5 linked regions of the Coturnix japonica genome follow. The protein of the gene in region 1 binds, or shares a complex with, the protein of each later gene. Links are inferred from orthologs where the notes say so. Each region holds a gene or a part of one and is shown in the gene's direction. Other genes may lie near its edges.

Region 1 (6,285 bases):
AAATGGAGAAACCTCTATTCTTGGAAGTGCTTCTAAACCATGAACATGATCTGGAGGTAGAGAGGTAACAGCAAATTATCGATTTGGGTTGTATAAGCTTCCAAAAGTGAAACTAAGCTCACAGACACCAGAATCCAGGCATAGCTGGAGTTCAGGTTGACATTGCTGTCAAAGATCAGAATAAAAATTGCTGTCATTGTCCCTTCAAAGGTCTTCTTTGTGCCCGGCCATTTGATCTCCCCCATGGTACTGCCAAAAACAGAGGCCATGGTGTCTCCTACCCCTACCGCCAGCACCCCAGCATAGGGCACCAATGCTCCTGCCCCAGACAAAGCACCTTTAGGGGCACAAGATCTGGGGAACAACCACACTGGGAGGGACATGCCAAGAAGAAGATAAATGTGAGTCAAAATTAGAGGCCCACTGTCTCTTTCATCCAAGAAGAGAGACAGCAAATACCGAAGAGTTTGGCCAAACGGTTTGATCCTGAAGTACCGAATATACTCTAAGAATATGAACACTGCCAGACACAGGACTGCAGCAACATGGAGAAGCTGGAGGTCATAAATTAGTCCAGGAACGTAAGTCGCTACAACAATGAAATGAAAATACTTCCTGGTTATGGTTGAGGCCTGGTGTTTTTTAGATTCAGACGATCTCTTGGCATTCTGGTAGAAAACAATGCCGCACGCTGAAGCAGCCAAAAAAGTCCAGTATACGAGAAGGTAAACCCTCGTCTGTGTCTGAAACAAAAACTGGAGCAGCCAAAACAAAGGGTTCCTCCGGATCAGTCGGTAAAGCCAAGGCATGATGACCCCTAAGCCTAGCACTGCTGTCATCATGTGGAAAAACATGGAGGAAATCCACGTACCTGAATCCATGAAAATGAAGAGAACAGTGAAAAAAAGGCCAAGAATAATAACTCCAATAACTGCCACCAGAAGGAAGAAGTCTATGGGTTCACCTCTGCCCTCGATTACATTCAGTGAGCGTTTAATGAGCTGATTGAGAACAAAACTTATACCTCCGAGAACTAGCAATGCTTCTCCAGGAGTAAAACATCGAGGCAGCAGGTAAAGCAAGATCATACTGAGGTAGACAAAAATTAGCAGCACTTCTAGGACCTCTATCACTTCTGAAACAGTCAAAGAGTGCTTCATGGTATAGATAATTATACTGCCAGCAACACCAGTGAGTATGCAAGTGTTGGTGGGCACAGGTTTTGTGATGCCAACAGCAATTACAGACAAAAATAGAGCAACCAACATCCCAGTGGAAGCTACAACTATACCAAAGCGTTCAAAGTACACGATACCAGCAGCCTCACACCTCTCCTTCATTGCTATCCCCAGCAAGGGGATGACCATGCTGGCAGGCAGGAGCCCACTGTTCGCTGTGGTGCGGAACTGGAACACAGCTCCCCCCTGCTGCAGCAGACGGTCCCATTTGAACTGGACATAGAAAGCCTGGATGGCGAGAGCTACAGCACACCAGGAGTAGCGGTCCCACACCACTGCATGTACACACAGAACGATGCTGAAGACGATCAGGGATTCCACCAGCACTGGTTTGTTTAACATGGTTCCAGTCCAATGTGGCTTTGGCTTTCAAGATCTTTCTTATGGGTCCTGATCTTCTCAGTAGTTGTCCACTAGAAGGAATTCTTTTATGCTACTGTGATTCCTATTAAAAACAAACAGACAAACGTTGTCAGAGATCAGAAGGGATCAGCCAAAACCATTATCCCTATTGGAGAATCCAAGCTGTGCTGACAGAAGCCAACTGCTCAATACACGGGTATTCAGATATTGCAACAGAAATGCTTCAAATTACATCTTTGACATGAAATATGAAGCAAGCAAGTCACAACCATTCCCAGATGGCTCCACTGCAGCAAGCTGCCAGCTGGGCTACAGGACAAGGAGCAGTTTCACCACCTGCGATGCAGATCTTCTGTTCCAGCCTGCAAAGGCTGCTGACGTGCAGGTTTGCAACACGAGGTATTGCACTGCTGCGTTACTTTCTGGTGCCTGCCAGGTAACGCTGCCGGTGCCTAAGGGGCAGGACGGACGGGAAGGGACTCCTCAGCGGAGAGTGGGCTATCTGCTAAGGGCTTTAAACTAGAGCACGGCAGATTTCGGTTAGATAATAGGATGAAACCATTAATAACGAGGGCGGAGAGGTCCTGGGAGCTGTGGGTGCCCAAATCTGGCAGCCCTCAGGGTCGGGCTGGACGGGGCTTTGGACAGCCTACAGCAGGGGCCAGGCTGCAATGGGCTGGGAGCCTTCAACGCATCCCCAGATCCCGACAGGAGGCGCTGCCCAACGCCCCCCAATAGGCCGCGGCCTCCCCATTGCCCCCCCATTGCCCCCCATTGCCTCCCATTGCCCCCCCATTGCCCCCCATTGCCCCCCGCTCCCCGCAGCGCTCCCCTACCTGGCTGGACGCCGCCATCTTGGCGCTGTCGCCGGTCACATGACCCAGCGTAACGGGGAGTGTGGGGGGGGAGCGGAGGCGGAGCGGCCGCCGCGGGTCACGTGAGAGGGGCAGCGAAGATGGCGGCGGGCGGGCTGTGCGCGAGGTGCGGGATGCGGCCGGGACGGAGAGCTGGGGAGGGGGCGGCGAGCAGCGCTGAGAGCGAACTGCTGCTGATGGGGGGGGGCGAGGAGCACGGCGGGGAGGAGAGGAGGGGCTGTGTGTGGGGGGGGGGACACGGGGGAGTTAACGGCCGAGGGGCCCGCGCCGCTCCGACCCCGCCTCCCGCTCCGCCTGGGCCCGCCCCGTCCCTCGGCTGAGGGGCCCTGAGGGATCCGGGTGTCTCTATTGGGGGGGTCTCTATTGAGGTGACTCCATTGAGGTGTCTCTATTGGGCTGTCTCCCTTGGGATGCCTCCAGCCCTCCTGCTGCTTCGGTTGGTGCAGAGCATCGCGGTGTAGCTGTGGAAATCCCCCCTTTGGCCGCCTCAGCAGTCGGGCTGTGCTCGGTGGGCTCTGGCCGTGCCCTTAGGGCGGCTCTGGGCGGCAGATCCCTGCGGGAATGTGGCCATTCGGCCTCGCTTCTTTGGGAGCCCTTCGCTGACACCCGGCAGCCACGTGGGAGCTGTAGGAAGGAAGCCCTTTGATGGGATGAGCCCCTTCAGATCGCTGCTTTTCCTGCCCTTTTGGTCGTTTATTCTGTCTCTCCGTTTAGCCCCTCGGTGTTTAAGTTGTATTAAAGCAAAGCTCACACCCCCAATGGGGCCAAGAACAGCTCTATTCCCTATGGCTGCAGCAAGGGAGCTTCCCTCCCATTGCTCTCCCTCTGATGGGGTGCAGGTCCCACACAGGGAAGTTCTCCTATTGAGTTTGGAAGTAGAAAGAAACTGGTTGATGGATGCATTGGAAGTAGCGGCTTCCATAAGCCATTTTAATGGCACCACGTGTCAGGCGTTACAGGTGATCTGCTTTTACATGGGTTATTTTGATGATGCCAATCTGAAGATAAGTTATTGGGTGTTCTTCTTTAAAGAGTGAGGGGAGTTGTGGTGTTTTCACTCCTGATTTGTATTACATTACTGACAGATGGTGAGTTTTAAGCTTGCTTGGCACCTGTGCTTCTGCAGAGCTGTTGTAGGGACACTCATCTTTGCAGTTGCATTTGCCAGGGTGAGGTGTTGCTTTGTAGCACCTTCCAGCACGGGTTGGTTTTCCTATAAGTTTCTCAGGAGCAGGAAGAAACAAGAAGCTCAGGTGCATGTTCTGAAGAGCTGAGGTTAGCGGGACTTCCCTTTGAAAACACGTTGTGTTTCTTCTCTTTACCTGGTTTTTATTCATCTTTGAATGGAGGTAGAAAACGTTAATAATAATTGTGCTAAGTAGAAGTCTGAAATGGTGTTTGTTATTAAAACAGTCTCCATGTTTTCTCTTTGTTTACAGGAGCAGCAGAGAATTGTGGACAATTCTCCTGGGCAGATCAGCTTTAAGAGAACCAGTAAGTCTGTGTCTTGATAAGCCTGTTCACCTGTCACTTAATGGACTCCATGACCAAATCCATCACTTGCACATCTGTTTGAATACTAGTTTTGCTGCTTTTTCCTTGTCCTCAGTGTCAGAGTGTGCCAGTGCCCAGAGGCTGGAAATGCAAATGTATCAGAACCTGGACCAGCACCTTCTCTTTCTTCTCCTTTCCTAATGTTAGGCAAAGCAGCAAGCTTTCTCCTACAACACTCACCTTGAATCAGTCTGAGTCATAGATGCTGTTATTTGCCTTGTGTTGTTCCTGTCTGTGTGATGGTGGAATTTCTTTGCTTTGCTTAAATCTGCTACTGGACTGGAGATGTTGAGGAATCTGTTCAGTAGTATTTGGTTCTTTTTTTAGGCACAGATTGCATCAGAACTGAACAAGCACTGGCAGAGATTGTTAGAAGGGCTTTCATACTACAAGCCTCCAAGGTACAGTAATTGTCTGATTGTAGAAATTAATGTCTAAAATGGAATCTAATAATAAGTAGAGGGGCATACTGAATATTTCTCTCTGATTTTGTAAAAATAGATTTTTTATGGAAAGGAGCAACAGTGTGAAGTGTTTAATCCAGACTATTCTAGGGCATAAAATACAGGCCAGAAAGAAATAACAGTAGCTTCTACTGTCATTACCAATGTTGGAAAGCTCTTAACCCATCCTTACTTCTGCCCAACTGTGGAGCCCAAGTGCAAGTCTGCACTCTGCAGCAAAGTGTCTTCTCTTGACACTTACTCGTGTCAGAAAGATAACTGGATCCATTCACTGGAAAGGATAGAGTGAATATAGCCTGTGTTTATTATACTGATAAAGTAGTGAACAGTGTTGAGTATTGTCTGGTAGGAAAACTGCTGCTTGTTGTTGTATGACATATTTGAAAGGCCACTGAGAGCAAACAAGTGTTCAGTTTAAACTGGTAAAATTGATAACTTGGAAATTAAGCCTCTTGAGTTCTTTCCTTGGGGTTGCTGTGTTTTTAATGATAACTGTTTTTTTCTGTAGTGCAACTTCAGCAGAGAAGATAAAAGCTGATAAAGATGTAGCTGCTCCACTAAAAGAGCTGGGCCTGAGGGTCAGCAAGTTTTTGGTGAGTGAAGGTGCTTTTCTGATTATTATTCTTATCCTTGTGTTTTCTTCATGCTGAGGAGAGGCAAAGTTAAGTTTCTTTCAGTTCAAAGTAATCTAAAGAAGGTTACAACTACCCATAGTGGCTCTACATCAAATTTTCCTGAGGTTGTTAGTGACTCTATGAAGTGATTTGTTTTTCCTGGTTTACATTCCCTCCTGCTTTTCGGAAGTGATCCTCTTTGGTCTCGGGCTCTTTCAAGACATCTTTTGCTCAGCTGAAAACCAATATCCCTTAAGGTATCTGCCACATTTGAAAATGCTGCTTACCTGCAAGGTTACATTCCTTGTGATTCCCCTTTGGGAGTGAGGGTTAGGTGACCAGTGGCAGTATCTTTCTTTAAATGACTGTGGTGCTCCTCTGCTGAGGTTTTAACTGGCTGCACCTAAGTGACATCAAGGCTTGTGTATTTTGCTTTCAACTGAAGTGCTGATTGAAACAAGCATCATCCTGAAAGGCAAAAATATGCTATTTTTATTTATTCTGAAGAGAAATTCAACCTGAAATATTTGGAGAGAATCTTTAATGAATTCAGTTACCTTTTGTTCATTTCAGAACATCTCTCTTTTTTTTTTTCCAGGGTCTGGATGAAGAGCAGAGCGTGCAATTATTACAGTGTTATCTTCAGGAAGATTACAGAGGAACGAGGGACTCCCTGAAGGTCCTTAGCTCCCATTTATTTCCTGTTCACTATACACCTGTCCACAATACCAGTAATCTGTTGATGAACACGATCATATGCAACCCCACATTCTGAATTGGAAAAGACTGTAGTTTGTGTTCTCTGAACCTGCGGTGGCCAATTACCACTGTACAGACGTGGGACAGCAGAAGTTCAGGTCTAACTTTCTGGTCCTCTTCCTGCTTGAATCTGGAAGGATTTGGCTCATCTCTGTCTCAGGAGCAGAGGAAACCTACAGATGTATGAATGAGAGTGGGTGGAGATGAAGAACAAACATTCACAATTAAGTACTTAGGTTTTGTCATTTTGGAAACAGTCTTTCCAAAAGAAATGGAAAGAAATTTTTTCTTATTTCTTTCATTTGTGGAGTATTTGTTGTTTGTTTTTGATGGTATTTGTCAGTAGGTATTTCTGCGGTGGGTAATCATTTTGTTATGCTTTGCTTACAGACAGTTCTTCAGGATGAAAGGCAGAGTC
Region 2 (6,127 bases), on another chromosome or scaffold:
ATGTGCTCCTATAGGACCCCCTATGGACAGCCCCCCACATCCACTTGTTCCTGTAGAACCCCCTCCTTGCTCTCCACTTGCTCCTTTAGGAACCCCAGTGCATACCCCCTCCTGGCCCCTGACTTACTCTGGTAGGACACCCCTATGGACACCCCCCTGTCCCCATCTTACTCCAGTTGCACCCCCTATGGACATTATCCCACCGCCCTATCCCCACCTCCCAACTTGCTCCTGTAGGTCCTCCTATGGACAGCTCCCCAGCCTCCACTTGCTCCCTATGGACACCCTCTCCCTGCACCCCACTTGCTCCTGTAGGACCCCAGTAGACACTCCCTCCCTGCCTCTGACTTAATGTGGTCTGACCCCCCATGTACAACTGCCCACAACTTGCTCCTTTCAGACCTCCTATGGATAGCCCCCCCCCCCTGACTCGCTCCTGTAGGACTCCTGTGTATGCTTTCCTGGCCCTGACTTGCTCTGTAGGTTCTGTTATGGAATGCCCCCATCTCCCCTGTCCACTTGCTCTTGTAGGACCCCCAATGGACACAACCCCCCCCACTCTCCCTGGAGGTGTCTATTCTGTGGAACTCCTCCCTGTACACCATAGAGCCCCCAGGATGATTCCTACCTTCTTCCTGGAAGCCCCCCCACTTCTCCCCTATGGAGAAAGAAGGGGAGAATCTCCAACACGCAGGATCCCTATGAACCCTCCCCACCCCATTGGAACCACATCCCTGCTCCGTGGGGATCCCCATTTCCACGATGTCCCCTGATCCTTCCCCATATACTACTACATCTCCAACCCCATCCTTCCCACCCCTAACTCTCCTTTCTCCCCCTCAGGCTGCTGCTCCTGCTGCCCCGCTGGCTGCAACAACTGTGCCAAGGGCTGTGTCTGCAAGGAACCAGCCAGCAGCAAGTGCAGCTGCTGCCACTGAGCAGCCCGCCTCGCCTGTAAATAGCTGCCATGCTTTGGGGACAGGGTGGGGGGTGATGGGGGCCACAAACACAAAACAAAGCTTATTTTTACATGTTTTGTACCTTCTGTGCTGATGGAGGAAATAAATGAGTTTGGCTGAGCCCTGATGCTGCTTGTGACACGTGTGTGGGAGCACTGGTGCTGGGGGCTGCGCCAACCCCCTGTGGGCTGTGGTTTGAGGGGACAGAGTGGTGTCGTGCAGTTGGGGTGCTCTGTTTCACAGCCCCTGGTGAGTGGGGGGCTCAGGGTGCCACATGGGGCAGGTGTGAGCACAGCCCGGCCGGCTCCTGCCCTGGGGGGGCAGACAAGGAGGGGGGTGGGGGCGTGGGAAGGCGCCTGGCTGCTCTTTTCCTTCCGAATACACCTGCCAAGCGAAAGTTGGCCCTACCTGTGCTGCAGGGCACAGCCTGCCCACACATGTCTGTGTGCTGTGTGCTCTGCTCCTGGCCATGCTGCCTCGTCCCATGCTCTGCGGGTGGGGACAGCTCGTGCCCTCCAATGGGGCTGGGAGCCGTGTGGGGTGGGTGGCCCTGAGTCCCCGGGCCCCTCGCTGGGGTGGTGCTGGAGATGGGAAAGGGGCTGCCCCGCTCAGTGTGTATTTGCCTTGTAAATCAGGGCCTGGGCTCCTTCCCAGCCGTGCCCCGGGTTGGAGCAGCCCCCAGGACGAGCTCTGGGGGCCGTGCCTTCAAACATGAGCGCTGTGGGAAGGTGTGAGGGCAATGTCTGCTGAGGGGAGCTGGGCTGAGGGGGGTGTGCGGCCCGGGGTCCCTGCAGGGTGGGTTTTTTAATTGAAATCAAGTTTTTCTTTATGTGAGTGAGTGAGCCTCACATCCTACATGGCACAATGGACACAAGTGGGGAATGGGGAACAGATGGCTGTGGGGGTTCAGGGCAGCGAACAGCCGTACTGATGGCAGTCTGCAGGCGTTCCGCTTTTCGTTTATAGTGTTTTCATCTCTGACCCCCGGCCCCGCGCGGCCGTCGGGCCGTTCCTCATTGGAAGAGGCGGCGGGCAGCCTCGAACCCGCGTCTCCCGGCTCACCGCCCCCATAACCACGCACAGCCCGCGCCGCCTCCCAGCGCCTCAATCACTTCTTGTCGCGAGACGAGCTGGAGGGGCGGGACTCAGCTCGACAACCAATGGAAATGCGTAGCGTCAGGAAGCGCGCCGGCTCGACCAATGGGCTGGCGGGGAAGGGGGAGAGCGTGGCCAATGGTGGCGCGCGGCGCGGGCGTGCAGGCGCGGCGGCCGGAGCGGCGGGCAGGTGAGTGAGGGGCGGTGGGCGCGGCGGGGATCGCGGTGCGGGCGGCCTCCGTCCTCCGTCCTCACATCGTTCTGCTCCCCGGCTCCTGAGCTCGGCGCTCCCTGCCCTGGGCGGGCGCTGAGGCGCGGGGCCTCCTGTGAGCGGGTGCCCTCGGGCCGAGGCAATGTCTGCCAGCTGTGCGGGCCGCTGCCGGGGGTCCGGGCCGGGCTGTGTGAGGGCTGGAGGCGGGGGGAGATGCACGGGGTGATGGCGGGTGGGGCCGACATGAGGGGACCGAAAGGATGGACTGACTGGGAATGGCTACATCAGCTCGTGTGGTTCCTGCTTGTTCCTGCGGTGCTGATAGCAAAGGAAAGATTGTGGGGAGAGGATCCGAGCTACAACATAAGGAGCGTGAGGGGAGTGAGCAGGGCAGGCGGCACGGCAGTGCAGTAAGACCTCAGAAACAGCTGGTTTTATTCAGTTTGTGCTGTAAAAGCTCTATGAGACCAGAGCTTGGGAGCCGCGATCAAAGGGTTGGTAACTTACACACCTGCCTGCAGCTGAAGAACAAAGCATACAGGACTGGGAAATATAGGGATGGCAGCTGATTTAATTTGTGGGTGGTGGAATGAACACTGAGTTGAGGAGTTCGTTGCTGTGTGCTCTGTTCAGGACTTTCCTACATCCAGGGCACTGTACCAGCTGGAGCACCACATGCAGCTTGGAGCCCTTACGTGTTTGGTTTTAGTGTGGCTTGTGCTTTTAGCTTAAACCAGGAGGTGGTGTGGCTCCCTTTGCTAGGTTTGATTAAAAGTCGTGTAGCAGAGGGCAATTTGTGGACAACATGTAATAGATGTGTGGTTTGCAATCGGTCCTTTTCCCTTATAGAAGTTGAAAATGAGTCAGGGACAGACCTTGGGAGCGGGAGCAGGTGACCTGTGTGTGCTGCTGGTGGGGCTCAGTTGTCTGTACCATTCCTGCCCTACGTGTGCTCTGTTTAACAAGCTCATTGACAGTTCCTGCATTCTTAGAAAGGAGCTTAATATCAGTGTCTAATATCACGGAAGTGGCATTTTTCATTCATTCAAGATATACATGTATGTATTTTGCCGCCTGCTCTTTGCTTTCATACTCAGTCACTTACTCTCTTCCTTCCAAAGGGAGCGGATGCTGACTTGTCACATGGGTCTCTGGAGCACTCTGAGAGGGTAACGCTGGATTTCTTCCTCTTTGTTTTGTCTTGGGAAGAATCTTTTTGCCCCTGGTTGGATTGTACTCTTTATCAGCTCTTCTGATTGCAGTGGGTGAGGCTTCCCTCTGAATTTTTAGTCAGTCTCTTTAAATAAATTAATTATAATTAGGTGGCACAAAGACTGTCAGTGTATGAAGTACAGCAGACACTTGCTTACACATGGGAGCTCTTCAGCTTGAAGTCTTTATGAAGCTCATATGGTGAAATGTTCAGCATGGCCGTATTTGGAGTAGGACAGCACTCTTCATCTGCTAGCACTGCAGGGCCTGGCTTTCCACGACCAGCCGGCATTTATGGTCAGTCTGAACAGAATTAGAAACCTGTCATCATTTCTGATTTCATTTTGGCTGAAATCCAGCCAGCTTGTAGAGTTTGTAACATCTACATGCGGTTTTAAATGTTGGGAAAACATTAAATGGGGCTTTTATTGGACAAGCAATAGCAGACTAATGCAGCAGCTTCTATTGATAAGTCATCAAAGTCGTTTTACAGAAGGGCTTTTTCAGCCCTGGCTTCTAGCCCTGGGTCGATCCAGTTTCACCGAAGTTAGTTTAATTTCTGGTGTATTTTCTCTCCCTTAGGTGTAAGTTGTTGCACATTCTGCAGCCAGACACAACAGTCTGCTGTCATTTGCTCGTCCCTGTGGCAGCAGTTTTCCATCTTGCACAGCGGCATTTGGAGTCAGACTGCAGCCTCCTGAATGCAGTAAATTCTGACAGCATGGAGACTAAGTAGTTCATGCTGTTACCCGGTCTGGATGTTTGAAGTCTGTCCCTTGGAACACGCTGCTGTTTGAGCTCTAGAGAAAGGTTTGAGCTCTCATTCCCAGTGTTTGGTTATAATCAAAGGTAGTTGGAGTTGCTTCAAATTAACAAGTTTATTCTATATTTGCTGAATTCAGTCTCTGTTTTCCAGAGTCATTACGGTTGTCCTACCTTGGCAGATTTGTGGGACAGCCTGTATATGGAATTGACTTGGGATCCGTGCTTGACAATTGCAGTCTGTGGAGCTATTTGTAGTCCCCTGACTCTCTGTGCTTTTGGTTTTAGAGCTCTGAGAAGTCAGTGCCTTCTCACACTCTTGGCTTTTCATCTTGTTCTTAATGAGAAGAGGAAGCAGACTGATTTGAATCAAATCAAGCTGAAGTCTGTGCTGCTCCTGCACTCACTGCTTCCTGCTTTCTAACGGTACAGGAGCGTGGCTGTTGTGGTCAGCCTCTGCCAGTGCAGGCAGCTTCTGCTGGGGCACACTGAGGTATCACAAGTAAACACTGGAAAGATGCTCTGTACTGCATTGCAGAGCATGGAACTGCTGCTTTCCACCACGCCCCTCTCTCCTCCCAGCCATCTCAGTGGCATGCTAGTCTGTTCAAACAAATCCAGACCCTGCTGTCTCTCCTGAACAATAGGTCAGTGCACATGGGGTTGCTACGTCCCCTAGCAGCTCCTGGTTTTCCAGAGGTGGATGAGGGATGGATGTGGAATTCTCTGTGCCTGGATGGAGGCTGTGGAGCTCATCCTGACACCCAGCGATCTCCATGTGTGATGGGCAGGGGTCAGGTCCTGTCCCTGATTGCATGTGTCCGAGTGAATCACCACGTAGTGCTTAGAAGTCACTTCTTGTCCAGGCACAGAACAGTGCTCTTGCCTCTTGAAGTTGTACTTAGGGACGGTGGAATACCAGGAATATGAAATAGTACTGTTAAAATTGCTTTAGTGTAGTTCAAAGGGGAAACCAAGAGATACTTTTGAATTTACAGGTGAGTTCTGGTTTGTAAACATGCACCGTTTTCTTTTAGATTCAAGGGCTCACTTGAACCGGTTCCTCTTGATTTTATTTTTAAGTTAAAGAGCCAGAGTTGGTGCTTGGGACCTAGTTGGGGCATGTGTATCCCCATATGTGTATATGTACCACAAATCTTCTTTTATTTTATATAAAAGTATATCATAGAATTATAGAATCACAAAATTGGAAAGGACATATAAGATCATCTAGTCCAACCGTCCTCCCTTTAGCATATCTACATAACACCACTAAACCATATCTCCTAGCTCCTTATATGTACGTATATATAAAAATAGATGTATATGCAAATGCTTTATAGCTGAATTAACACAAAAACTTTCACATGGATTTCTTCACTTCCTGTTCTTCCCCTTTTGAACTGTCACATAGTCACATGGTACCTGCATTGCTTTTTTGACAGACCATAGATCTGCATTCAGAATGTCATCCTGCTAGGCAAAGTGCTCTGAGAGCACCTGAAAGTATCTCCTTGATGTTTAGGTGTTTCTACCCATCCTCCCCAAGGGGACTTAGGAATGGTGGAATATCAGGAATACAAAACTATACTGTTTAAATGCTTTGTTATAGTTGATGCTGCCTGGGGAGGACTGATGGAACAGTGTTCTATTCTAGAGGAGCAGCTCTTGCTGGTCTCTCTGAGTGCTTGTAGGTGTAGAAGCTGTTTATAGCTGAAGAATTTTCTCAATTTTTTTTATTTTTCTCTGAAGGCTTCTGAGCATCGTGGATAAAGACTGCAGCAGAAATGGACACTGAAGGCTTTGAAGAGCTTCTCCAGCAGGCAGAACAGCTTGCAGCTGAGACTGAGGGCATCTCTGAGCTCCCTCATGTGGAACGCAGCCTGCC
Region 3 (5,654 bases), on another chromosome or scaffold:
ATGCCTTACTGCCATAAATGTAGAGTTTCTTAAATTTACTACTGTCACACGTCATAGTTGTTTTCAATGAAAATATTTAAATATAAATATGAGTGATTTTTGTATATATTTCAATCTACATTATATATAAAATACATAAATACATATAAATATGAAAGTGAAAACAAAATCCTTATTGCTTTATGAGCTTACATGAGATTGGATCTGATATTTTGCTTTCAAGTTTGCTAAGCTGGAGGAGGCATTCCATCTGCAAACAGTAGCAGATGTAAGTTTGTCTTTGCACAAACAAGGATGATGTGTTTTTAATGGTTTGATAAAAGTCATAAATACCATGTCCTGTAACATGAAACTAGCAGGTACATAAATATGAAGATATTTGCATCTGATTCCGGAAGTGTCTGAATTAATCACCGAAAAAACATTTTTGTAGTTTGGCTGTCTTTTCTGTCACAGCAACTAGCAAATGGATGCAATAAAAGGAATAACCAACAGTAACAAATCCCTTCAGAATTAACATTTCACTGTGTATAGTTGCATTATTTTCATAAACCTCAAGCTTTGATTTTGTTGGTTTTTTGTTAGTGTGATTTTGTATCTAAAAGAGAAATTACATGAGAATGTTTTTAATTACTTCGTGCTGTTTCAGTGTTCTCAGAAAGTCAAAATTCTATCCAGATCATAATATTTAAAATCAACAAATTCAAGTGCCTGGTTCTGTGAGAGCTGATGGTTTTTTTTATTTTATTTTTTTTCTGAAATGCATTTTTCAAATAGAAAAGGCATGTTTATACTTTCAGTTTGTATAGAAAAGCCTATTGAAAGCATGATATAGTCTAAATTGCCATGTAACTTTTCAACTGTGCCTGATATATGCTGAAGAATAACTCAGCTTTGAAAAGAGAGTAGAGAAAGAAAGGCCAGATAGCTGCCAAACAAGTACGCATGCATACTGTGAACTGAAATAGTTTAAAAATGAAAGAACAGATGAAATCTGGAATATATATTCTTTCTGTTACCTCAGTCAGCCTGTCATTCTGTTTACCCTTCAGAATTTTTTAGTCTAACTTCAGAATCTTTACAGTGACAGACTGGATATTGGACAGAGATCCACAAGAAGAAATACTCAAGGCATTCAAATTGTTTGATGATGACGACTCTGGTAAAATAAGCCTGAGAAACCTGCGTCGTGTTGCTAGAGAGCTGGGTGAAAATATGTCTGAGGAAGAACTGCGGGCTATGATTGAAGAATTTGATAAGGACGGAGATGGCGAAAGTAAGTCTTAAGCATAGACGATGTGGGATTCTTATCTCTTAATTTTCTCCCTATTTTAACATAGCTTTATCTTGAAAATGCCTGAAATTGACAATTTTCTCTTTGTTTTCTTTCTAAATATCTCTCAGCTCAAACTTAGCTTATGTAAAATGAAAATAGTTTTTGATAGTTACTAGTCCTGAAGAAGCATGGTGGAGTCTAAAAGTCAAATAGATTTCTCACCTTCACTGAGGCTTAATCAACCAGCCCATACCTATTCAAAGTTTGGTTAAAGTTCCTCTGGTTAAATAATTAAGTGGTTCATGGAAGTGTCTGTGTACTACAATAAAATTTGGTATCTGTATGAATTAAAATGGCAATGAGTAAAAGGATTAAAAGGCCAGAAGAAACTCTTTTGATCACCTGGTCCAATATTTCTTAAGCAGTAGCGTGTCACTATTGTGATTTCAGCTTGTTGGTCAGATACAAAGAACTATGCTACTAAGTTGTGATGAACTTAACCCTGCGTCCAAGCAGGATCACCTAGAATAAGACTCTAACATGTCTCTGTACTTAGGAGAGCTGAGGAGTGTGATGTGGAAAATTCCTCTGAGGAAACAATGTCCATACAGTGTGAGCTACAGAAGAGCTTTATTAGCTAGATAAAGAATTAAGTAACAGGCACTGTTTAGGGTTGTTGTTTGTTGTTCAGCTCCCTTCTTTATTTCCTCCATGAACTTAAATCTTTGTATTTAAACTAGAAGCATTAATACCTGGATTTCAGGAGCCACTCACTTAAGACAATCTGCATATACTCTGCATTTCTGAGTCATAGAAACCATTGTGAGTTTTTCTTTCAGGATGATGACTCTCATCTGAGATCTCAGAAGTAGTTCAACTTTTTTAGTTGCAAAACATTTCTATTTGTCAGCAACATCTACTGGAGTCTAAACTCTGATAGAGAAAAAAACAAAATTCACAGCACCTGCCTTTTTGTCTGTCTTGTGACAGATACTTCAGTCTGTGCTGCTTGTGGTAGGTGTTATTTCACACTTGATCATACAATTGCAAGCTTGTTAATTGTTGGCCTGTACTGTTTTTGCATCTACTCAAATATTGAAAAAAAAAATACAAACCTTTCTCCTCCCTCCCCTGTCCCACCTCCAAGAAATGGGGGGAAATGAATGAAGAACAGGACTTCTAAGCTTAGTCAGCACAGTTTAAATGCCAATGTTGTTTAATTTTAGTGATGCAAATAGGGAGCATAAAGGCAAAAATACTAAAAGCTCTGTGCTTTTGTTGATACTAGACTGTTAATCTTGACACTGTTTTTACAAAAGTCTGTATAATGTTAAGAAGACTCTTACTTTTGTTTAGAAGATGCCACCTCCTGATCTCACTTCATTTCCGGAGGCTATGTTACCTTAGTAGAACCTGCATAATTCTGATGTTCTTTTATGTGCCAGATGTGTCCTTCCACACATTTATTGCATTGGTATCCACCTCAGTAGCTATACAACAGAGTATAACAAATATTCTAAGTGGACAGCTTTATTTTAAGTTTATTTTGCTTTTAAAAGTAGTGGTGGCACTGCCAATGTTACCTTTTACTTATTTCTATTAAAGACTCATTTTATTTGAAAGTGGGGCTGCAGAGGGGATAGCAAGTAGAATAGATCAACCACAAGCATGTTTTGTTCTCTGTTACCCTTCTAGAGCTGCCAACTCAACTGTCAGAATGATAATCAGGGATGATTTTGGTCATATCACTGTTTGGTCAGTAGAAATCAATGTAAACTTTTAGCTCCTTCTAGGAAGATTTTAGTTTTTGGGGGGATCAGTACTAAGTTTCTGAGATTGTTCAGTTCATTTTCCTTATTCATCCATTAATTTTCTTTTTTAGAGAAGTCTGGAATAAGATTGAATGTGGAAGATTGGTAGCATGATGTATTTGCATAGTTCTGTTCCTTATGGTTCTGTTTTCTGTTCTCTAAAGAAAACTAGTACTGTTTCTAGCTTTTAAGATTCAGTCTCGGAAAGTAAATAATCTTCTGAGTCAGTGTTCCATGTAGTTTCAAACATCTGGGTCATGTAACAAAGTCTTGCTCTCATTTATTTCTCCTTTGTTTCCTGCCAAGGGGGAAAAAATCTCTAAGTATCACTTGGTAGCGTTCTATATTTTTCAGTAGTTCGTCTGTAACTGGGCAGCACATTAAGGACTCCAACTTACTCATCTAACATTCTGTGAATGGAGTAGAGAAAAAAAAAAACACCAGTACCCTCAGTACATTGTGGAAATGTTTCCTATTTCTATTTTAATTGTTTATCCTGTTTTTTTTCATGAGTCAAACCACATGGAACCTCAAGCCTGGTTTTAATTTTAGTCATGTGTCATAAAATGAATAAGAAGTATTACTATTTAAGGGAAGTGATGCTTTTGTTTGTAAAATATTAGTACCTTCAGCAGACACTTGAATCATACCTTAATCGTGATGTTTTAGGACAAAGCTCAATTTCTGTGGTTACTTACTTGTCTTGCCAGATATGTTTGTGGATCCATTTTTTTTTTTCTTAGAACAACACTGATTAAATTTCATCTCTGAATTTATGTTTAATGTGGCTTGCAGAAAAGCTGCTTTGGACTCCAAATATATCCTGCAGATAACTGCTGTTGGAAATGTTCATATACACAGAGTCTACTGCTCTTTTCTTCAAGTAAACAGTGAAAAAAGTAATTGTTGTAAGGTAATCTGTATCTGTTGTCAGTTTATGGGCTGGTTCAGCCTGGTTCCATGAGTGATGGGGTGGAGGGATCTGCAGATCCACATCTCTGGATAAGTGAAACAGGGGACACCAAAATAATTTAAAACAGTGGCAACAATCTGAGGAGAAACAAACTAATTTACTAAATATGGTATTGAAATGCAAGATAATGTGTTATACAGTATAATTAGAATTGAAGCTAATGAATAAAATATAATGAGAGAGAGTATCTGAAAGCTGTAGGCCTTACAGTAGTGTTGAAGTGATGCGTGCGCTCAGGAAAAGCAACAGGGAGAAGAGCCAAAGGAGAAAAGAGACATCAGATGACCTTGCCAGGGGCTTTGTCTCCACTCTTACCACAGAGTCCTCCAGGTTATGCAGTTATTCCAGACAGGCACCTGGAACTGGAGCATTAACACTTTAACTCCCAGTGCACTACATGATGTGTGTGGAATACTGATAACCAAAAATTGTAAAGCCATAACATAATTTTGAAAGCAAGTTCATAGACTTTGAGGTGTATTCTCTTTCCAGTTACTATTCTATGTATAGCTTAAAACAGTCTCATAAACTCAACAAGTGAAAATAGGTAGCAGCATTATGATTGTTGACCAATATAAAATAATAGCTGTTTGATTTAGTTATATGCAGTAAAGCCTTAATTTATAATTCTAAACGCTGGAAAATAAACATCATACTCTTGTGGTAACTGACCATGAATTGAACTACCCTTGAAAGTAAAGCAATAAAGTAGAGCCCAAATAGGCCCAAACTGGTCTGGCTTTTTCTTTTTTCTTTGCTTCTAATCTTGATTTTTTTTTTTTTTTTTTTTTTGATGGTTTATATGAGGTTATTGCTAGCCACTACATTGTATGAACAATAATGCATTGAAGAATAATTGACATGGAAAAGACATGTCAGTACATAAGAGAGAACTTACAGGAAGATGTAATTATCTGAAATCAAAGTGTGAAAAATTCAACAGGTATAGAAACTCATGAATTGATTTAATACTATTTAGGTAACCATGATAATGCTTTGTAAGTCATGCAGGGAACATGTTGCTTCTGTGTAATGCAACATGGTGTAGCTGTATGGTTGACTTGACATTTTAGAGTTGATAGTCCTAAAATAAAATGAATTGTTTCATGTTGTTTTTAAAAGTGTTGCAAGATGGCAGATTTATTTTTTTAAATGTTTTTAACATGAATTGATTTAGTTTTCCTCTGGCTGTAGGTGTAATTCCTGCTTTGCAATGATTTGTTCAGGAATAACTTGGGCACATTGTTCGGGGCAGATAATTGTCAAGGACAGTTTGTCATACATCTCTGTTCTTTTCCATATAATTGGCTTAATATGCTCATTCCACACTACAGTAATTAGTTCAGAGTGAACATGTCCATTGGTTAACTCTTTTACAATGTCTTTGTTTTAACATATGAGTAAGGTCAATAGCTCAGGTATAAGTGCAGTAAAATAATTAATGACTGCTAATTCATTTATTATTATTACTTAATTTCTTCAAGTACATTTGTGTTACGTTTCTGTTAATTATAACTGTAGAATGAAGAAAGTTCAGATGGGAAAAGAGCTTGTCAAGTGCCCATCTTAATTCAAGTTAATTTGTAGAATCATT
Region 4 (5,654 bases), about 660 kb from region 1:
TGTGTTTACAAGTTCCCAGTGGTTTTGTTCTGCCCTTGGATATTTGCTGTTTCCACATAGTATAGTGGAAATGTGGTTAGTTTTCTTTCCCCAAGTTTGTGCTGCATGCAGTTGGTAGTGATGAGTCAAAATTTGTGCACTCTTTGTTACAGTTCTGGTAATGAGAATGCTGTTTAACCCTAAGAAAAACAGAGTGAATGTGCCCTACAGATGTACACTTTTGTGCACTGATAAATTCCCCTCGAGGTTTCACTGCAGGCAAGTTTGCTATAAGGACAGCTTTACTCTGAGTTAGATTTTCTTCATTTTGCATCACTCTTGTTCACCTGGATGAACACTTGGGTTAGCTTCTTATACTAGTTTTTAATGAAGCTTTAAAGAAAGGCTGTTCTGATGTCCATGCATATTGATGTGCTGTTCAGAACTGACATTATGTAACGCTTGTAATTGCTAGAGGGGAAATCAGTGCCTTGTTATGTGCAACACAAAGCTTGCAGTAGTGCTGGGTCTGGTTTCAGGTTGGCTATGTTACAATAGAATTTCATGCCGTATCTTGAAAACCTTTGCAGTGGAATCCTTCCCAAACGTTACTTGGCTGGTTCATCATTGTGCTTAAGCGAACATTCATTTGAGATGAGCTGAAACGAAATGAGGTTTTTATTTCCTTTTTATGAAATGCAAATTAAAGGCATGTTCATTCTGTGACAGGTTGGAGGGGTGACAAATATGAGACAGAAAGCTGGTTTTGGTTAGGAGCAGGTCTTGTGGTGAGACGTATCTGGCTTCATTGTGCTAGTTTTGCATCTGTGTTGTTATGGAGAAGCCACTTAATTCTCTTTGTGCCTTACTTCTTTCATTTCCAACCTATAAAAATCAAGTTAATTCTTTTCATTATCATGAGGGCTGCAAGTGTTCACGAATGCTTTTGTGAATCATGGTTTGTGAATGCTGGTACTCCAGGAGCCATGTGAATAGCCTACAAGGATTCGATCACCTATGACTGTTAGACAGTTCAGCATTGTGAAGTGGGAGCAAATGACTCATCTTCTGGAAATGAAGTTTGAAATAAGATTTGTTTTGTACAATGCCTGATGTTTGTACCACCCTTTTCTGAAAAGACATGGCAGTGCTTTGAAAATGTTATGGAAAGCCTTATTTATTGTTCAGAGCTAGGATAAAATAGCCAGGCCAAACCCTGTACGTATTCCACAAATTAATAACTAGGTTTTCTCTATGTTGCATTGTCATGCTGGTTAAATTTTCCAGGCAAAAATATGGGTAGGTGTCACATGGCTTGGACTGCTTGAACCCAAAGGGTCTTCATCATCTTCTACTGAAATGGCAGGTTCTGAAGTGAATTAAAATCTGATTTTTTTTTGCATGGCAGGAGATTCGACGCTTGCACCAGTATGTAAAATATGCTGTCCAGGATGTGAATGACGTTCTGGATTTGGAATGGGATCGGCACCTGGAAAAGGAGAGAAAGCAGAAGTAAGTAACTGAAACTGGAATACAAGACTGTGAGGATCTTATCAACGAATCAGTCACTGCCTCTCATCAATAGACAAAACCCTTTTTCTGTTTAACAGTACAACCTTTTTTTTTTGTGGGGTTTATGAATAAAGTTTAACAAAGACAGGTAAGAAGAGAGCTGTAGGTTCAGATTACTGGGCTGTGGAAGTTTGTTACATTTTGCTACATCTCCTTGCCTGGTAAAGGAGTGCTTGTGATAGAAAAACCTGTAAAATAAGGTGTGTAGGGACTAAATGCATCCATTGGTGGAAGCCAATGAAACCTCCCAATCTTCTAGTAAATGAGCTAAACACATTTATAGCATACCCAAAGGAGAAACATGCATTTGAGACAAGCAGAATATTAGGGATATGATTTAACTGGGAAGTATTGGTGATGGTTGGACTGGATGATCTAGGTCTCTTCCAACCTTGATAATTCTGTGATTCTGCCTTTTGTGTTTAAAACAATCTTTGTTTGACTTCATGGGGTAGAACTGGCAGGATCTACCAAACCACTTTGTATGTTCATGCCTGCTTGTAGCCAGATCTGTAGAACCATTTTGATCTGTGTTTCTTGGTCTTATGTCTCAAGGCGTCTGGTTGTTCCTGAACGAGAGACTTTGTTTAACACCCTTGCTAATAACCGGGAAATAATCATTCAGCAGAAGAAGAGACTACATCATTTGGTGAACAGCCTACAGCAGCTCCGACTGTATAATCAGACATCTCAGTGGAGTGTTCCCAGTGATACATCCCCTCTTAGCAATGCTCAAAGGTATGTGAAATGCAAGTTCCTGAGTGGTGTTGCCACTGCTTTCTTGCCCTGAGCAGTATTCAGATGTGTGTCCACCGAGAAATGATTGTGGATGTGATGTGTGAGAACAGTACATCCTAGAAATGATACAAAACTATGCCCAGGTAATGCAGAAGCTCGCTTGTATTTGTGTGATACGTTAACACTCATCACAAATTCCCCCTTGAAAGTTTTATTTTTTTATAATAGCATAATCAGGATAATTGAACCATTGAACCTCTGGACAGAGGTACTGCTGTTTGTCTGAATTCAGGGGAAGAAGTGAATAACTTAAGAATTTCCAAAGTAAATCAAGATACGTACATATAAATAGCATGGTATCTAGAGGAGCCAGCTGTTCTTCCTGATAAGTTAGTACTTCTAGTGATTCATTTTGGCCTGTTTTTGTTCTTAATTTGTTTGATTTCTTTCTGCTGATCCTGTTTAATTGTTTTGCTGTGTCACAGTTTTGACAGTGACCTTGAAAGCCTGCGCAATGCCTTGATGAAAACTACCTTGGAATCACGCGTCAAACCCCCACCTAAAGTACCTGGTAATGTATTCTTCCTTCCTGGTGTTCACATGTAAATGTTAACGTTGTTAATGTTGGTATAGACTTAATAACTCTCTTCTGTTTTCCAGCTAAATTGCCCCCTGTGAAACTGACACAGTTGAGGAATTTTCTATCCAAGAGGAAGACTCCACCAGTTAGGTCTACGGCTCCAGGTAAACCTTTAGCTATGTTAAAAGTCCAGAATGCTTTGTAAGAGGGTGAGTTACCTCCTGTGGGAACCAATCCTGAAATTAGCTTAGAGCAGCTTCTCGTAGCCTCTGCCCTTACTTCACCCTTGCTGCTCCCTCATCTGCCCTGAGTAAGAATTTACTTCAGTTACAATCTTACCAAAAGTTGCCTTTGCTGGCAGTTAGGAAGTCGTATCCTAGCAATGTAGGATTAAAGCAAGCCAGTTAGAAGAGCATCCTAAAATAGGATGTATGTCTTAGCTGTTAGGATGGATGACTCTCTCACCTTAGTGTACACGTGTCTTTTATTTCTGTTGTTGTAGCAAATTTGTCCCGATCTGCCTTCTTGTCCACAAGATACTATGAAGATTTGGATGAAGTAAGTTCAACATCCTCAGTTTCCCAGTCCCTGGAGAATGAGGATCTGCAGGCAGCAGACCAGGAAGAGGAGGCTGCTCCTGTTCAAGTCCCTCGTCATGCCCCTGTGGTCCGCACTCCATCTATCCAGCCTGGTTTGGTGCCTCAGCCTCCATCCTTTGGGAAACAACACCCCTCCTTGGGTGGTACTCTATGTGAGTTATTTTGCAGTGTTTCTGCTATTCTGCATGTATTCCTGTCAGTGTCTTTTACCACTGTATAAATTGCTGCTGCTTCAAATCCTGGAGAAATGAGTTTGCAGCAGGGAGATTTACACTGCCAAATTCCCAGAAGCAGTTAGCAGAGTGGCACTGTAAGCTTGGGAATACACTGAAGTACCTAAATGCACTAAAGGACCTTGACTCACTGCATTTTGACTGCTTGTTACTTATAGATCATACTGACCATAGATGGCACTGTCTTCCTTTAGTAATTTGTCTTATTTTTTTAAAATGCTGCCCCTCAAAACAGAAGGCTGAAGTACTTCTGCATTTGATGAGTGTGCACAAGGTTAGGACTTCTGAGCCCCAAAACAGTAAGAACTAAATGTGCATATACTCAGATTTCCTTGTCTGCAGTCAGAGAACTCGAACCCCAAAATGAAAAGTAAGCTGTCAGTAGAAGTGACTACAGCAACAAACTGAAAGTCATCTGGTGCACTGAAATAACAACTACTGCAATGTACATGCTGAATTCATTGAGGTACTCAAACTGTCTGTGCTAGAAAAGTGTCAGCTGTCTTATCAGATGGAAGCTGTGAAATCACAGGAACTGTAGTTTGCAAAGGATTTCAAGTTTTCCTGATTTTAATGGATACAGTGAACTGTAATATTTTTTTTGTTTCCTGTTTAGTGCCTACGTCTTCAAACAGAATCATCCCACAAGGGGCAGACAGCACAATGCTTGCAACAAAGACTGTGAAACATGGGGCCCCTGCTCCCACTGTCACTGTTCCAGCACCACAGGCAGCTGCTGCAGCAGCTCTGCGAAGGCAGATGGCCACCCAGTCCCCAGGTAAAAGGATGGCTGATTGCTCAAGTCACCCTTGACTGGGCAAATAGAAACTTACATGGATTTCTTTTGGAGTTACTCGGAGACACCATATTGATTGCAGTATTTAATATGGGGAAGGTATTTACCACATTTATTTATTTATTTATTTATTTTCTTAAAGCTGTGAGCACCTCCTTGACTGAATCAACTCTGAAGAATGTTCCCCAGGTGGTGAATGTACGAGAACTCAAGACAGGTGCTTTGACTCCAGCTGTCTCTACAGTAATAGGGTGAGTGGGATCACCCTTTTTTTGATGGTAGCCTTCGCTAGTGCTTGCAATAGGGCGCATCTACCAGTGTGTAGAGCAGTAGTCTGATATAATGTCAGTGGTGAGTGTGTTTAGAAGTGTGTCATGAGTTTGTGGGATGAATAGAAAATATGTTTTCTTTCCAGATCAGGATAAGCTGTTAGTAAATCCTTGAATGAACAGACAAAACCAATATTATCATCCTTCATTTGTCTGTGAAATATGTTTTAATTCATTTTCTCTTGCAGAAATCTAGCTGAGTTTTATTGTGAACGCACACATCTGAGATTTCCAGTCACTGATACTATTAGGTCTCCTTCTGCAATGGAAGTGCACCTCTGTTGCTGCTTGTGGTCTGTGGACTTAAGCTGTCTAGATGCTGCTCTTTCTACTTCCTCGTCAATTACAGATATTATGTACTCTGGGGTCATGCCTCTCCCATCTGTTCCCTGACTCACCCTCTGGCAGAGGTAGAACAGCACTCTTGCTTCTCTGAAAACTTGTCTTAAATTTCTTGACATCAGACTTTTGACTGAAGGGCTGAGTGTTGATTGCTTTGGAAGAATACAGAGCTGTAAAGCTGTCATCCGCATAAGGAAACTATGAAAGTTGGCTTCTGGTATTTAACCTTGAATTTAAATTTTCTTCTGAGTTAGCTGTAACTTTCTGCTGCTTAGAAACAACAGCCAGCTCAGCTCATTCCAGAGATTTCTGTCTTATCACCAGGCTCTGTCACCAGCCGCAGAACTAGTCCCTTTCCCTCTGCTGGTAATGACCTTGAAACTATATTTGCTTGATGTTCCTATGAATGCTTAAGACCAAGATAATGCATGGCCGTTTCTGGGGTGGGGAGACAAGGGCATTACTGAAAAGTCTGAGCAAAGTTGA
Region 5 (5,654 bases), on another chromosome or scaffold:
AACTGTTCTCATGTGTTTCTCTTCTGTGCTCAGTTCTTTGTCTGGCTTTTGAAGTTCGTGTCATCACTTTTTACCATTTATCCTTCACCAAAAGTAATTATTGTCATCTTTATTACCAGCCAAGGATTTTAAGGCAGTAGAGAGCAAAGTCTTCTTGATTCTAGTTCCTATTATAAGCATTGTTTTAAAGACAGGTGAACACAGGCTTCTGGAATCGTGTGTTCATCCTAAGTTGTATTTCTATCCAAGACCGATAATGCTGAACACTAATGGGAAATCTTGTTCATGCAGAAATGGATTAATAGTTCATATACATTGAAAGTGGTTTTGAAAGAAGTCAAAGCCACGTGCATTGATTCCAGTATTGTACTTCTAATGAAATTGTACGATAACACTGTTCATTGATGCACAAACCAAACCAAGCATTCCTTTCTTGTAACCCTATTCCAATTATCCAGAAATATTTTCTAATTTTAATGTCTTATTAAAATGTTTGCTATTAATCCCTTCTTTCTCTCAAAAACATTTCACTGCTCCCAGGGAGAATACGCTACATATCCTGAAGCAGCGACAGTTAAGTACATTCATTGGAAGTTCTCGACCTCTGGTAACAGAATTGGTAAGTGTTATTTAAATATAAGACTTGGTTTTGGGCATAAAAGCCATTCAAAATGCTTTGCACAGAACACATATGCTGTTTTCTAAAAATGGGTGGAACGGGGCAGTTTTTGGTATCTATAAATTGTTGTAGTATCTAAAAATGACAAGGCATTAAGTTGGAAAATCAGTACAGAAATGGTGAAGCAGTAAGGAGGTCGCTGATGAGAGGATATTAGTGAATGCCAAAGTTGGAAGTCGCTGGATGATTAATATAATGATTAAAATTATCAGATCTTGATATATTTGTTTTAAATAGAAGCAAGTACAACTAGTGTGAAAAGGCTGCTGAGAAGCTGGAGGAGTATAGACAGGTAGATTGATAAGCAGAAGGGGAGAGGGCTTTTAAGGTGGGAAGAGCTGGAAGATGAGAGGTTTGAGGCAGAGGCATAGTGATAAATAAGGAGATTACAGTTGATAGGAACAGTGACAGAAGAGGAATAAAGGAAATAAAGACAAGGAAGCATCATGCTAGAGATTATGTGGGCTGTATAACATGTTGTGCCAATATGAAAATGTGACTCTGAATTGTAAAACAGGACAGGAAATCATTGGAAGAGGCGGATACGCATTATTTGAATGGATGGATGGTTCCTTTTTTTCCTTGCAGGATCCAGATGCTCCCATTAGACAGAAACTGCCACTTGATGATTTGGATCGAGAAGACGATGCAAGATTACTGAAGTATCTCTTCACTCTTATCAGAGCAGGGATGACAGATGAGGTAAACCTCAGAAAATGAAAGAATATTCTCGGTTAAGTAGTTTAACTTGTTTAAAACCTTACTATTAAAGCTGTATGATTTGAATGGAGCTGAGGGAAAGTCATGGCATAGCATGTTACCTTTTTTTTTTTAACCTTTACTGTTTGGCCAGGTGTCTTTGTAAGGAAAAACCTCAAATAGACTGTATTGGAATATTCTAGAAAGCATACTATTCTCCATTCACCCTTTTACTATAATTCTGCTTCTTGGCTGCTCTACAGAATATACAATGCGTATACAAGTTGCGCCAGGGCAAGTTTAGGTTGGATATTAGGAAGAACTTCTTTACAGAAAGGGTAGTTAGGTACTGGAATAGGCTCCCCAGGGAGGTGGTTGAATCCCCATCCCTGGATGTGTTTAAGAGCCGTCTGGATGTGATGCTCAGGGATATGATTTAGTGTAGGGTTTTTAGAGTTAGGGTTCTGGTTAGGCTGCAATTGGATTTGATGGTCTTCAAGGTCTTTTCCAACCTGGGTAATTCTATGATTCTATATTTTGCCTTAATCCTTATCTGAGTAACATCTGGCAGTCCTGGTCCTAATGCTGTTCCAAGTAAAGATGTCCAGTTGTGAAGCAGCTTTTGTGATTTAACGTAACTAGCTGTACTGTGGTGTGGTCTGAGCTGGAAGCTCAGTCTTATACCAGGCTCTACAATTATATGACATTTGGAAAATGGAAAGGAAAAGGTACTTCAGATTCCTGTGTCTAAGACCTTAGATTAGAAAGTTGGTCACTTGCTGGTATTCTGTTCCCCTGTCCATTCATTGTTTGATAGTATGGGCACAAGTCCACGTTGCTTCAGAGGGGTATGAATATAAATCTTCAATTTCAGTTGCACTACGGTGTTCCTACTATCTGATAAGCATGGAGTCACTTATTCTCTGTTGAAAGAGTTAAAACCAAGAAACAGCCTTGGTTCCTTTATCTTACGATAGATAAAATATAGTATGTGAGCTTGACCATTGTCATTCCATGCTGTTCAAAATAGCTTCGAATTAAATCTCTTTGTTCTAGTGAGTAGGCTATTGATATCATGGGAAAGTTAGACGTGGTATTTTTAGCAGCACACAAGGGGTTTGGAAAGCTACGTCAATTAGAAAAGTAGGTGAAGAGATGGTTAAGGGATTTAAGCAACAAGGTGGTACTTTAAGCTTGTCAGAAGGACATGGAACAGCTGTTTAAGCCAGAAGGGTGAGACTGTAATGCATCTATCATACTTACAAGTAAGTATTGATAAAAACTTAAACATTTAATGAGAAACACACTGATTACATTTCATTACTTTGAAATTCTTCAGTTATTTTGAGTTTCAGGTTCTTTTTTGCCTAGTGCAATCCCTACACAAATGAATGATTTTAATAACGTTTGCATTTCTTCCCTTGAAGTCGATTGCAGAGAAAATCTATTATTTTTCAGGCCCAGCGCTTATGCAAACGATGCGGTCAGGCCTGGAGAGCTGCAACTTTGGAAGGATGGAAATTGTATCATGATCCCAACATAAATGGAGGTATTTACTTCCATCTGCATTTGAGAACTGTAAAAATAAGCAGAGGGTTTTCTCTTTAGCAAAGAGAATTAGCTCTTTATTTAATACTGAGGGTCTTTCTTGTGCCTAGAATATGTTTTACCATGTCTGTTGATCACATTTAACATGCATGAGATGATTTAATTGAAGGTATGAGTTCACTGAATCCACTTAACATAGTTAAGTCAATTTTTGGGTGTTTTTTTATACAAACATAGCAGCTAGGAAAACAGATGTCTAGGAATTCTGGACAGATCTTCACCACCACCATTCATGTCTCAGTACGTGTTTTCTCTATGTCAGAGAACCTTCTGCCTTCTATAATTATAGAATGGTTTGGGTTGGAAGGGACCTTTAAGACCATCTAGTTCCAACCTCCTGCTGCAGGCAGGGACACCTCGCTCTAGACCAGGTTGCTCACAGCCCTATCCAGCCTGGCCTTGAGTGCTTCCAGGTAGAGGACATCTGCAGCCTCACTGTTCAACCTGTTCCAGTGCCTCACCACTCTTAACAGTTAAGGATTTCTGATATCTGATCTAAATCTTCCCTCTTTCAGTTTAAAGCTATTCCAGTTTAAAGGCACTAAGCCAGCTAGCAAACATTTTATTGCTTATAGACTCCAAGATGGAGTCCATAAGCATTCCAAGATCTCTTGGAAGCCAAGAGATATAATAGGACTAAAGAGCTCTGCAAAGGTAAACGGAGGAAAAATACATGGTTTTATAGTATTTGGACTTTGCTAGATTTAGCAAAGGATTTATGAGCATGTCTGAGTGCTGTGCACACCTGAGACTGGAAGGCATAATGCTTTCCTGCTTTTCAAACCCTGATATCCCATTACTTTTATCTCGACTGGTGTCTTAGCCTTGTTTTGGAGTGTTGTTTTTATTATTATTATCCTTTGCAAACAGGAAACGAGGTCCGGCCTGTTGAAGGGAATCCATACAGATGCATTTGGAAAATATGTTGTTGGCGGATGGCTGAAGAGGTAAGATAATGTTAATTTGCTTGGTAGTCATGTGAAATGTTCAACTTCTTTGAACTATAACATGATTTTAAGTAAGCCTGCCTTCTTGGTTTACTGTCTGTGGGGATTTGCGGTTCATGTTTCTAAGAGGACTTCTGAAATAATATATTTTTCATGTAGATAAAACCTGCCCAATCAGCATCAATCTTTAAGGCTTTGGAAATGTCAGTTTTGTTTAGTTGAGAGTGAAGCTGCTGATGCTGGTTTTCATCTGGGCTCAGCTGAATGGGAAAGGAAAAACCATTGCTTTTCAACTTTTCAAGTGCATGGAACACTTAGTAATGGATTAGTCTCTAATAAAATGTAACTTATCAGGATGTGTTGGTGCTTTTTAACTCATGGGTAATTTTTCAACTGTTTATTTTAGGAGCAATTCAACAGATACGAGAGAGCAATCTATGCAGCACTCAGTGGAAACCTCAAGCAGGTATGTTAGGCCTCCTAGTACATGGTGTTCAGCACTTGTGAATTATTATATGTGATAATAACATCATAAAGACATTCTTCTTAATGTGCTTTCAAAAGCTTAGTAATCATGACAATAGCAATAACAGACATGGTCTGTGCAAGATTTTTCTGCCTTAATTAAATATACTTAATAGACTTTTTTAGTATTATTGTTGCTGACCCTCAGGGCAACCGGTTTTGATTTTGTTGTTTTAGATTTGAAATGTTAGTGTTATCTAAAAGCTTGTGCAGCCACTTTTCTGCCCATGCACCATATTCTGATTTGTCAGTGTAACCAAATTTCACTATTGATAGTTTCAAGTAGTTCTTCTTATGTGTTTGAATCCTCCAGGTATTTTCTGTGCTCTCCTTCTTCTAAGTACCGATGCTTTTTGTACATGTATGTAAATAAATCACTACTTAGGAGAAGGAACTGGATATGAAGTTTTAGCACAAAGACGGCAAATCAGAGAGTCATGGAATTGCTCAGGTTGGAAAAGACCTTAAAGATAATCGAGTCCAACCACAACCCAACCATATGACCCCATCTAACAACCCTCTGCTAAATCATGTCCCTGAGGAAAAAAAACTGATCCTAAGTTACAGTTGGTGTGTTTGGATTCTGATGGTTCTCCATCTCTAACATTTTGCTCTGTTCTGTTGCTTAAAATATGCAGCTTCTTCCAGTTTGTGACACGTGGGAGGACACCGTTTGGGCTTATTTCAGGGTCATGGTGGATACACTCGTGGAGCAGGAAATACGAACATCAGTAGTAAGTGCCGAGGAGGTGGAAGAGCTCCCGAGGGAGTATTTAGAAACCAAGTAAGTTTTAGGTAGCAGTTGTGTTCCTCCCCTCAACAAAGGATCGTTTCACAGTATTAAATGTAATGTTTGTGGTGTGGGGTTTTTTTTTAACCTTCTGTCTTCTACTTTAAAGCTGGACTTCAGAAAAAGTATTTGAAGAACTTCAGGCAACAGACAAGAAGGTATTTATTGCTGACAGTTTCTCCTCACTGTTGGCTATTTTAACTTACACAGTCCTTTGTGCTCCTCTATTTCATCAAACAGTGACTGGCTTTCTGTCCCTGTAATGTATTCTTCATTCAAATAGATTTTTCTGACACCTTTTAATGATGAAGAAGGTGCAGGTTTTGTCTTGTTTCTTATCTGCCAAACTAATTGAATGTGCTGAAGAAACAGCGGAGCACAAATTGCTGTCAGACGTGCAAAGCAG

What was found.
Region 2: NUP188 (region 1) and NUP93 share a complex: the UniProt entries of both Homo sapiens proteins name them as parts of the nuclear pore complex. The link is inferred for Coturnix japonica from reciprocal best matches to the Homo sapiens genes NUP188 and NUP93.
Region 3: NUP188 (region 1) and CETN3 share a complex: the UniProt entries of both Homo sapiens proteins name them as parts of the nuclear pore complex. The link is inferred for Coturnix japonica from reciprocal best matches to the Homo sapiens genes NUP188 and CETN3.
Region 4: NUP188 (region 1) and NUP214 share a complex: the UniProt entries of both Homo sapiens proteins name them as parts of the nuclear pore complex. The link is inferred for Coturnix japonica from reciprocal best matches to the Homo sapiens genes NUP188 and NUP214.
Region 5: NUP188 (region 1) and NUP107 share a complex: the UniProt entries of both Homo sapiens proteins name them as parts of the nuclear pore complex. The link is inferred for Coturnix japonica from reciprocal best matches to the Homo sapiens genes NUP188 and NUP107.

The regions. Positions count from the first base shown.
Region 1 is NC_029532.1:4,031,446-4,037,730, forward strand, and holds the start of NUP188 (nucleoporin NUP188 homolog), read left to right. Parts: upstream 1-2,510; 5' UTR 2,511-2,556; coding exon 2,557-2,582; intron 2,583-2,855; exon of another isoform or gene 2,856-2,886; coding exon of another isoform or gene 2,887-2,912; intron 2,913-3,915; coding exon 3,916-3,970; intron 3,971-4,357; coding exon 4,358-4,431; intron 4,432-5,002; coding exon 5,003-5,087; intron 5,088-5,706; coding exon 5,707-5,787; intron 5,788-6,257; coding exon 6,258-6,285. Other genes in the region: DOLK (dolichol kinase), read right to left, coding at 33-1,580. UniProt on the Homo sapiens protein: Component of the nuclear pore complex (NPC), a complex required for the trafficking across the nuclear envelope. Required for proper protein transport into the nucleus.
Region 2 is NC_029526.1:558,107-564,233, forward strand, and holds the start of NUP93 (nuclear pore complex protein Nup93), read left to right. Parts: upstream 1-2,133; 5' UTR 2,134-2,244; intron 2,245-2,524; exon of another isoform or gene 2,525-3,434; intron 3,435-3,445; exon of another isoform or gene 3,446-3,530; intron 3,531-4,059; exon of another isoform or gene 4,060-4,326; intron 4,327-5,991; 5' UTR 5,992-6,026; coding exon 6,027-6,127. UniProt on the Homo sapiens protein: Plays a role in the nuclear pore complex (NPC) assembly and/or maintenance. May anchor nucleoporins, but not NUP153 and TPR, to the NPC. During renal development, regulates podocyte migration and proliferation through SMAD4 signaling.
Region 3 is NC_029547.1:53,325,252-53,330,905, forward strand, and holds part of CETN3 (centrin-3), read left to right. Parts: intron 1-1,084; coding exon 1,085-1,276; intron 1,277-5,654. UniProt on the Homo sapiens protein: Plays a fundamental role in microtubule-organizing center structure and function. As a component of the TREX-2 complex, involved in the export of mRNAs to the cytoplasm through the nuclear pores.
Region 4 is NC_029532.1:4,689,696-4,695,349, forward strand, and holds part of NUP214 (nuclear pore complex protein Nup214), read left to right. Parts: intron 1-1,387; coding exon 1,388-1,491; intron 1,492-2,106; coding exon 2,107-2,289; intron 2,290-2,774; coding exon 2,775-2,860; intron 2,861-2,949; coding exon 2,950-3,033; intron 3,034-3,371; coding exon 3,372-3,620; intron 3,621-4,317; coding exon 4,318-4,479; intron 4,480-4,639; coding exon 4,640-4,748; intron 4,749-5,654. UniProt on the Homo sapiens protein: Part of the nuclear pore complex. Has a critical role in nucleocytoplasmic transport.
Region 5 is NC_029516.1:31,998,224-32,003,877, forward strand, and holds part of NUP107 (nuclear pore complex protein Nup107), read left to right. Parts: intron 1-540; coding exon 541-619; intron 620-1,267; coding exon 1,268-1,381; intron 1,382-2,836; coding exon 2,837-2,927; intron 2,928-3,856; coding exon 3,857-3,933; intron 3,934-4,339; coding exon 4,340-4,399; intron 4,400-5,096; coding exon 5,097-5,242; intron 5,243-5,357; coding exon 5,358-5,406; intron 5,407-5,654. UniProt on the Homo sapiens protein: Plays a role in the nuclear pore complex (NPC) assembly and/or maintenance. Required for the assembly of peripheral proteins into the NPC. May anchor NUP62 to the NPC. Involved in nephrogenesis.